Linked DNA regions of Schizosaccharomyces pombe. The gene in region 2 interacts genetically with the main gene of each other region. Each region holds a gene or a part of one and is shown on either strand. Other genes may lie near its edges.

Evidence for each region.
Region 1: mutations in thi2 (region 2) and ptr1 impair growth when combined (synthetic growth defect), as found in Schizosaccharomyces pombe (one study listed by BioGRID).

Annotation. Positions count from the first base shown.
Region 1 is NC_003424.3:5,207,068-5,211,966, reverse strand, and holds the start of ptr1 (E3 ubiquitin-protein ligase), read right to left. Parts: upstream 3,328-4,899; 5' UTR 3,192-3,327; coding exon 1-3,191. Other genes in the region: terminal uridylyltransferase Cid1, read right to left, coding at 3,832-4,664, 4,766-4,899. UniProt on the Schizosaccharomyces pombe protein: Probable ubiquitin ligase protein involved in mRNA export. E3 ubiquitin ligase proteins mediate ubiquitination and subsequent proteasomal degradation of target proteins.
Region 2 is NC_003423.3:3,938,675-3,942,265, reverse strand, and holds thi2 (thiazole biosynthetic enzyme), read right to left. Parts: upstream 1,741-3,591; 5' UTR 1,693-1,740; coding exon 706-1,692; 3' UTR 567-705; downstream 1-566. UniProt on the Schizosaccharomyces pombe protein: Involved in biosynthesis of the thiamine precursor thiazole. Catalyzes the conversion of NAD and glycine to adenosine diphosphate 5-(2-hydroxyethyl)-4-methylthiazole-2-carboxylic acid (ADT), an adenylated thiazole intermediate.

The DNA.
Region 1 (4,899 bases), on a different chromosome or scaffold from region 2:
ACAAGAATCAAGTTCAATAAGGTGGATGAAAGAGCAAGCAAAACACGATTACTCTTGGAAAGAGGATCTCTATCGGACAAACGAAAAAAGCCAGAAACGGTCTCATTTAAGCTAATCAATACATCCATTGTTCGACACCCACCCAGTAGACGACTGATCAGAAGCACAAGAGTAACCTTTGAATCATCTTCTCGAATTATGGATGAAGCACCTAAAACAAAAATTAAGGAGGCCTCTAAAGAAGCAATACTGAGGGATTGCGGATGAGATGTGATTTGCTTGCTTGATAAGTTAATAAGTTCATCAACAACAAGAGCGATATTACTACCAAGTTTATGAATCATTTTGTATTCATTGAAATCTTGTACGCTTGTATTTCCTAAAGCTCGAGTTAATGAAGTGAAAAACTTAGATACTCCATAAGCAATTTGAGAAAAATTCGAACGTATATTCTGAAATTTACAAAAAGATGAATCTTGTGTTAATTCCTTTTTCTTTGTCTCAAACTTTTCTTTTTCATCTTTGTCGGTAACGATGGTAGTCAAGGAGTCACTGCAAAGAACAAAGTCATCAGAAACACCTAAACATATATGTATGTCCAATGATGTTGCAATGCTTTTAATATTACATAAAATATCAAAAATACCAGCATAACGTGAAGGACTAATAAAAAGTTGAACTAATGGAAGATTTCCAGCTTTTTTCAATGCAGCATGGGAAGAAAATAGCTCAGCGAAAATAGTCAGCAAATTCCCAACGATTGAGAAATGTAGAAAATTATTTGCATCTTCGTGGCCCATATTTGAGTCCTTTATCAATGAAATCGTGGCTTGTTTCAGTGAGACTATAGTAAACTCAGTAATGCCTTCTTCACATCGAGTAATTATACAGTCTAGCAAGGGCCGAAAGACCTCTGGAGCATCAAAATCAACTGCATGATGTAAAAGAACAAAAAACGAGTTGAAGGCAGAAGAGTCTATAAATCCAAAAGCCAGTACGGGATGTTGAATGAGATTGAGCACGTGCGACACAATCCCTTTGGATATTAAATACCTTGCGTGACCTTCGTTTGTAATAATATTTTCAAGAAAACTAGAAAATGTTTCAAGATACAACAAATAAGGATATTCTTTGGCATTTATATATTGAAATGGATTGAAATTGTCAAGAAGAGCGGAAACCTGGTCACAGGCTTTAAATATCATCTTCACAATTGGATCTTTAAGGGAGGGTTGATGCCGCATAAGTTCGTCGATGTAAGTACCAAGGATGGCAGCATTATCGCTTGATATAAGTGACTTACAATGATTTAACGATGTGAATATTGAGAAAAGTTGTGGGATAGGATTTTTCTCTAAAAATAAATCAAACCCTTGAGAGTTCAAGCATATTGCACCAAAAGCTAAAGGAATTGATGTTATTGCATCAGAAGAATTGAGTATTTTCCGATTGACAGCATCCAAAAATGCATGTGACAATTTCTTTTCATGAATAATTCCATAGCAAGTAGGCTCATTATGGATGAATGTTGACATTATATTAGTAGTAGATGCGAATAAGTTGGAGCCATAGACTTCATGGTGCTCTAGCAGAAAAGCAAGGGATGAAATGAGAGAAGAATCAATTAAATTACGAAGCTCAACGACAGAGCCACCTGATTGAATTAGATGTAACACAAACTTGAGTAAATTTTTTAGAAGGAAGTAACGGTCATATGAAATGGCATAATCCATATTTAAAACAATCTCTGGGTTACCTTTTCCAGATTTAATATCTTGAAGTCCAGCCTCAAGCTCGTATTGAACACGGTCAACCAGCATATCCAATCCTTTAGACTCAGAAAAATCTGGGAATGCCATAGAGTAACCATCGATGAGATGGTCCAACATGACAATCGATCTTGCTACAACATAAGTAGCCTGTGGAGTCTTCACAGACAGATGATAACCCAAAAGAGAAGTGAGACCTGCAGAACAGGCCATGTTACCGCCAAGAGGCGATGAAGTCATAAATTGAAGGAAGTCATAAAAACTATCAACATATTCTCTCTCGTAATAGAAATTCGGGTTTTCTAAGTTTTTAGAAAAATCACGAACGAGATTCATCATTAATCCGTAACTAACAGATACATTTAAAGATGCCAGTACAGATGGAATCATACTCTTCTTAAAGAAGAAAGCTTTAAAACATTCAAAACAAACAGCTTTAAAGTTTTGAGGAAGATCCACATCTGGAGAAACCAAATTAGCTAAATGGGTGGTGATTTCCGGATCGGCGATTAAAAATCTTGTTTGAACTGCCTGAGAATGAGCATAAACAAGATTAGAAAGAGCCAATAATCCGATACGAATCATCAAGCGCCGTCTATTTATATCATAAAGATTTTGACGTAACATTAGTGAAACAAGGAGATCAAATGAATATTGTTCAGGAATCTGATTATCGTGCAAAGTTTTCACAAGAAGCTCTTCTATAGGCTTTCCAAGAACTTTATTATATGGTAATTTTAAAATCGAAAATCCTTCAGAATTTGGTTGACTTGCAGATGAAAAATCTTTTGATGGAGAGCTTTTATAATAAGAAAGCTCCAAAGAACACCATTCTTGCGGGATCTCATTTGAAAATAACAAAGTCTCGTAATTTTGTGAAAATCCGGTTTTCATTGCATCTTGAGGAAGAAACATTAAAAAGCGAAATAACCGATCTTGTGAAAGAGAAAACAGCTGCTTTCCTCGCTTTGAAATCGTTGCTTTTTGTACAATATGAAGAAGCAAGGCTAATGTAGAATCTATAACTTCGAGCACAGAGCTATTTAATAAATACTCTAGATAAACAGTAGAGTTATATATGGAGCGATTCGCGCAATGACTAAGCAGATGCGCCGAAAAGCTCAGGATCTCTAACAAGATACTCAAAGTGTCAGAATCAAAAGGTTTTGTCTGAACTTTATCCTTTAAAGAATAATGTTCAACAATACGTTCCAGAATAGCATCAAACCTATTCAAAACTGGGACCCATGAATACAAATCGCCACGAGGATATGGCCAATCGTTTTTTCTGAATTCTGAACAAAGAGAGACAAGACCCAAGTCTGAAGTTACTTCTTCATTTTGAGCTTGTCTAATAAACTCAGCAACCCTAGGAGGTGGCTGAGAATATTGATTTTTAGGAGGACTTTTCGTTATCCTCATTTTTGCTTAAAGCATCAAAATCTCGAAATATAGTTAAATACCCACCTTGAGAAAAATGCCAAATTTATTATGTTCTAATGAATTGTACCAACGAACAGAAGGGAAATAGACCCAGCTGAATGTTTGGTAAAAGTTCAAATGTGATGGTTAGCATGCTGCAATGCGTCTACAAATTTGGAAACAATATGAATTTTACGAAAAAATTTGATAAGCTAAAATAATTTCTGTACGCTATAGTAATTAAGAAAAAAAGATAAACTCTTTATATGTGTTTACGCACATTACCGAGGCTAAACGAAAAAATATTTGGTTATTTCCGTTCAATTTAAAGAAATTGATATAAACAATAGCTTAGCATTTGCAATAAATAATTATTAATTATAGATCTATGAAAATTTTTTGGACATTGATGTTAACTATGATGAGCCTATTTTCTCACCAACAAGTAGACTATTAACAAGAGGTTGTACATAAAACAAAGGGGGAAAGGTATTAGAAACAAGAGGTCAAAATTTTTAAAGAAAAATAAAAACATTCCATGCTTTCAAAAGTAAGCAAATAAAAGCAGAGTAATAATGAATGATTACTATGAATCTAGGGGAATGAATATTGATGCGCTTTTTAAGACTTCTTTGTAAAATCACTCAGAATTGTCACCATCGGTTTCATTCAACAATTTTTTGTTAGATTGTTCATCCGTTTTTTTCTGGCGACGAGGCGGAATTGGGGCCTCCTCAAATAATGAATCATAAGGGATAGGATATGAGCGAGAATTGAGCAACCTTGAAGCGGCCATAAATTCCCCTCGAATCCGATACAATCCAGAACTGCTAACTGTCCTACCCACATTATGTGAAATCTCGAAAGGATCTTCAATCGCAAGAATATACCTGTCTTTTATAATTTGATCAGCCGATCCAGTGTGTTCAGTAGCTGAAGTCCATCCTTTCTCTTGCTTTGTGAGGTAACCGTCTGGTCTACGAAAAGTTACTACCTTTTCCCGTGGCTCGAACTTATAAGCATAAAATCTAAAAAAGCCATGAAGTAAACTTCCCAATGAGCTATAATTTTGGGAAGGAGGGATATCTTCCAGTTTATCGTCAAAACCAACGTCAAATCCATCAACTATCTTTTCTTGTTTCAAAGGTGACAACAGTAAATTAGGAAAGACGGGAGGCTTGATAACGTGAATCAGATAGTAAAGAACCATTAGGACGTAACCATAACTGGAAAGAGTTCCAAAGTAAGGAGAGTTGATTTGCTTCCGTTTGGCCCAATGCTTAACAAGAAGGACCATGGGTTTTAGGCGAGCATCTAATTTTGTATATGAAGAAAGTAAAAGCGTATTATGAATAGCTAGACGATTGTTAAATCCAATATCACATTGAAACGAAGCCCCAAATCCATTTTTCGTATCAGATGTTAATTTGATAATGGGAATTCTTGCCCTTTGTAAAAATTTTCCTTCAAATCCTGTCGATAGTTAGTTATGCGAGCCAACTGGAAAGGAAAAAAACAATATTCAGAGATAGTTTGTCTAAACTGAATAACTTTTAATGAATAATTATACTTACCTTCAGCTATAAGCTCTTCATAGAATTGGAGCGCAATTGTATCACTTTGGACGCGCGAATCCATAAGCACGCACAAATCCATATCCGAATTTTTAAGTGCTAAACCAGATTCCAAACTTCCAAAGGCTACCAAT
Region 2 (3,591 bases):
TCACATAGGCATTTTCGATTTCCATGTTTTTGAGCTATTTCGGTATGCATTAATGATTTGTCAATCGATGGCAGTTTCTTTATTTCATTGCTCGCCAATGTCAAGTCAATTTTAATAGACATTTTTAACCTATATCATCGAAACCTTTATACGCAGCAATATCAGAGTAGATGTATATGATGCATCCAATTTAAAGCATGTGTCCTTACGATTATACTATCAATAGTTTTTTTAACCGGTTTAAATGCAATTAATACAATCAATATGACAATGTAAACCGTTAATAATTTGTTAGAGAGTTTTACTAATTTCCAATAATTTAGGGCAAATGGTTGAACATGAAAGTACTTTGATATCTTCCCTATAGAAATAGCCTTTTATTATTTAATTTGTTAGTTCATCCAATATAAAATATTATATTAAGCGATCTGTGAAATTGAGAAGATAACGCAAGATCTCGCTTACAGTTTACTCTAAACTGTTGTGATATTTCGTTAGCCAATTATATTGTACAAAACTACGTGAAAAGGCATAAAACTCATAGCTAACCAAAACTACGAGAAAAGCAGGTTTATTCTGTTAAGTAAATGTATTTGAATCTCTTTGAGTATAAGTAAATTGCATTAAAAAACGTTGTAGTAATGGTAAAATCAATGACTAAAACAAATGTAGAAATATCAAAAGGTTGCTAGTACACTATTTTCTTTACAAGTACTTTTCATTAACAGCCTTACGTTCATCAAAAATAGCAAGAGCTTCTTGAGCAGCTTTGATGCCGCTAAACATCATACCACCGAAGGTTGGTCCCATACGGTTGGCACCATCAAATTCAGAAAGCTCCATACCTCCAACAATCATTCCTGGAAAAACTTCACGAGTTCCCTTTACAATAAGGTCCTCAGCACGGTTCATATCTAAAGGACGCATGTCGTGAAGGTTAGAAACAAGTTGAGCACTGGCAAGGCGCTTGACACAGAAAGCGCCGAATGGACCATCATGACCAGTAGCAGAAACAACCAAATGGGCATTAATAGTGTTTGGGTCCATGCAAGATTGAAGACCGTGATTCAAGGAAACAAGGGTCCAATTTGTAACAACACCGGCAATGCGTTGCTTACCATCTTTTCCTTCCTTAACAATCAAATCTTCAACAGCAGTGGCATTGAAAAGTTTGACATTAGGAAGTGCCAAAGTACGGGCCATAACAGTGCTGGTGAAAAGAGCGGCATGTTTGACCACAACATAATCACCCTCATCTTCGTAAGGAACACCAATTTCATTTAAGAAAAGATCAGCTGGCTTACGAACAACCATTGCACTAAAAAGCTGACCACCAAGCCAAGCACCACCACCTGGAGCAACACTAGCCTCGATGATAGCAATCTTCAAATCAGGGCGGCGAGTTCCAATGTAGTAAGCTGCAGTAAGTCCTGCAGAACCAGCTCCAACAATAACAATGTCGGATTCAGCATATTTATCCAAGTCGCTGAAATAGCGACGAGTCATAGCACGGCTTACAGTGCTTTCACGAATAGGAGCAAAGCTAAATGACTCGTCCAAAGAGTAAGTAGGGTAAGCCTTTGATAAAGCACCCATTTCACTTTTCACTACAGTGTTATGAGCAGTCTTTTCAACTGGCAAGTCAGTCTTGAAGGCAGTTTGGGGTGTAACGACAGCAGTAGCAGGGGCCATTTTGAAACTTAAGAATAATATTCAGAACCGATAGTGGAATGTTCAATTGATGCTGAAACATGCTATGAGCCCCCTTTATATATCAAAATTCTTACCATCTTTCGACTTTCATTTTTGTGACTACAAACAAACTTGCCTTTGGCTGCCGGGTTCATAACTCCGTAGTATCAAATTTCGGTTACATATTTCCAGTTTCGGTTGCAAATTAGTGGATCTGATTTTTTAAGCTTTTCTGGTCATTTTATATAAATCTTTGCATAGAAATAGTGTAGTCTGATGATATGACACAAGCATTAATATTGAACAGAGATCGAATTTTAAAGACAATTAGCGTCAAAAAAATTAATTTTTTAATGTTAGACTTAAGATCAATAGTACCACAAAAGTTTAGAGACTTTTCTAACATAAAATTGCCATATTTCAAATTTGATAAAAGTGTTTCGGACTCGGAAGCTTGCAAGTATGGCGAGTATTGGGTTGCATTCGTAAGTGTAATTGATACATGATAAATATCTGAATATGCAGCTATTATTTGCTGATTTTGTTCGCATCCAAGTAACTGATCGGCGGCGATGAATTACAGATGGCGTCTTCAAATTAAAAATAAAAGCCTCATCACAGTAACTACCCGTCATTAAAGATTACAATCTCATTGGAAAGTAAAAAAAGAGCCAGGTGATACGGATAGACATCAATACATCTCCCTTTTTGATTGAAGACAGACTTGGGTGTTTCGTTAGATAGTTCATCGTGATTTCCAAGCCAATGACTTTTTGACTGTTATAGCAACTAACAGGTTATTAATGTAACTTTGGCTTATATATAAAATCATATCCAATGGCTCACCAACTAAGGATGGATGCTATTATACAAAGCATTTGCATAGTCTTCAAATAAATATAAATTGAAGGGTTGAAAGGTCAGCTGATGATGAAAAAAAGATACCTTGATTTTCTAAAACTCAACTTCAATCGATATAACATTCTTATGTTTCGATTAAGCCAGTTTAGATGGTGGTAAAGACATAGCATGCCATCATAATCGAGAGCTTTTAAGCTCGGAGTCTTAATGAACACATAACTTATTGTTATTAATGAAACATATTCATTATTCAATATATGAGATATTTTGCAGCAATGTATACAACCTTCCAAGAAGGTTTATTGTATTTGCTTCTTCGACTCATTAAGGTTCGATAGTAAAATTTTACTAGCATATCCTCATTATTATCCTCTTTTGTTAAATATGGTAATTTAAAAAATATTTTAGTTAAAAACTCTCCCTCCGGGATTCGAACCCGGGCTGCAAGCGTGACAGGCTTGTGTACTACCCCTATACTAAAGGAGATTATTGTGAGGATTACTAATTTGCAAAATATAATTGTCGTGTACTTTGTGTTGCATGAGCAACTTAAATAGTTTAGTCAGTTTTTGAAGGCTTCGGATACAGTGAAGAAAGAAGGTAAGAATTTATCTCTAAAATTACTTTCTTTGGTCTTCTTCCCTACACGTCTCGCATGTATTATATTTATCTGTAACGATGAAGATTGAAGAGATTGTGATTAATTTCATTTTTTGTTGTAGGCTGCGATAATTCAAAAGTTGAAAGACAATGGAATTCAATAGTTACAGCCATTGATGGCTGATTTCGTCAATTGAAATTTTTGGCAGCACTTTCATAGCTGTGTTTCTTTACCTTTACTAAATATACCGTAAAATAGCTTTTAGTGTAAAAATGTTAATAGAATTCGGGCTAATGCGATTGAGTACGAAATTAAAATAAGAATGACAAATGTTGTTGAGCTAAATAGCACAAACCCAATGAGTGCATTAAAAAGTAGAGAATTAATAATATTGTTTTGGAATTTAAAAAAAAGAAGCCTACAGCACCCCGGATTCC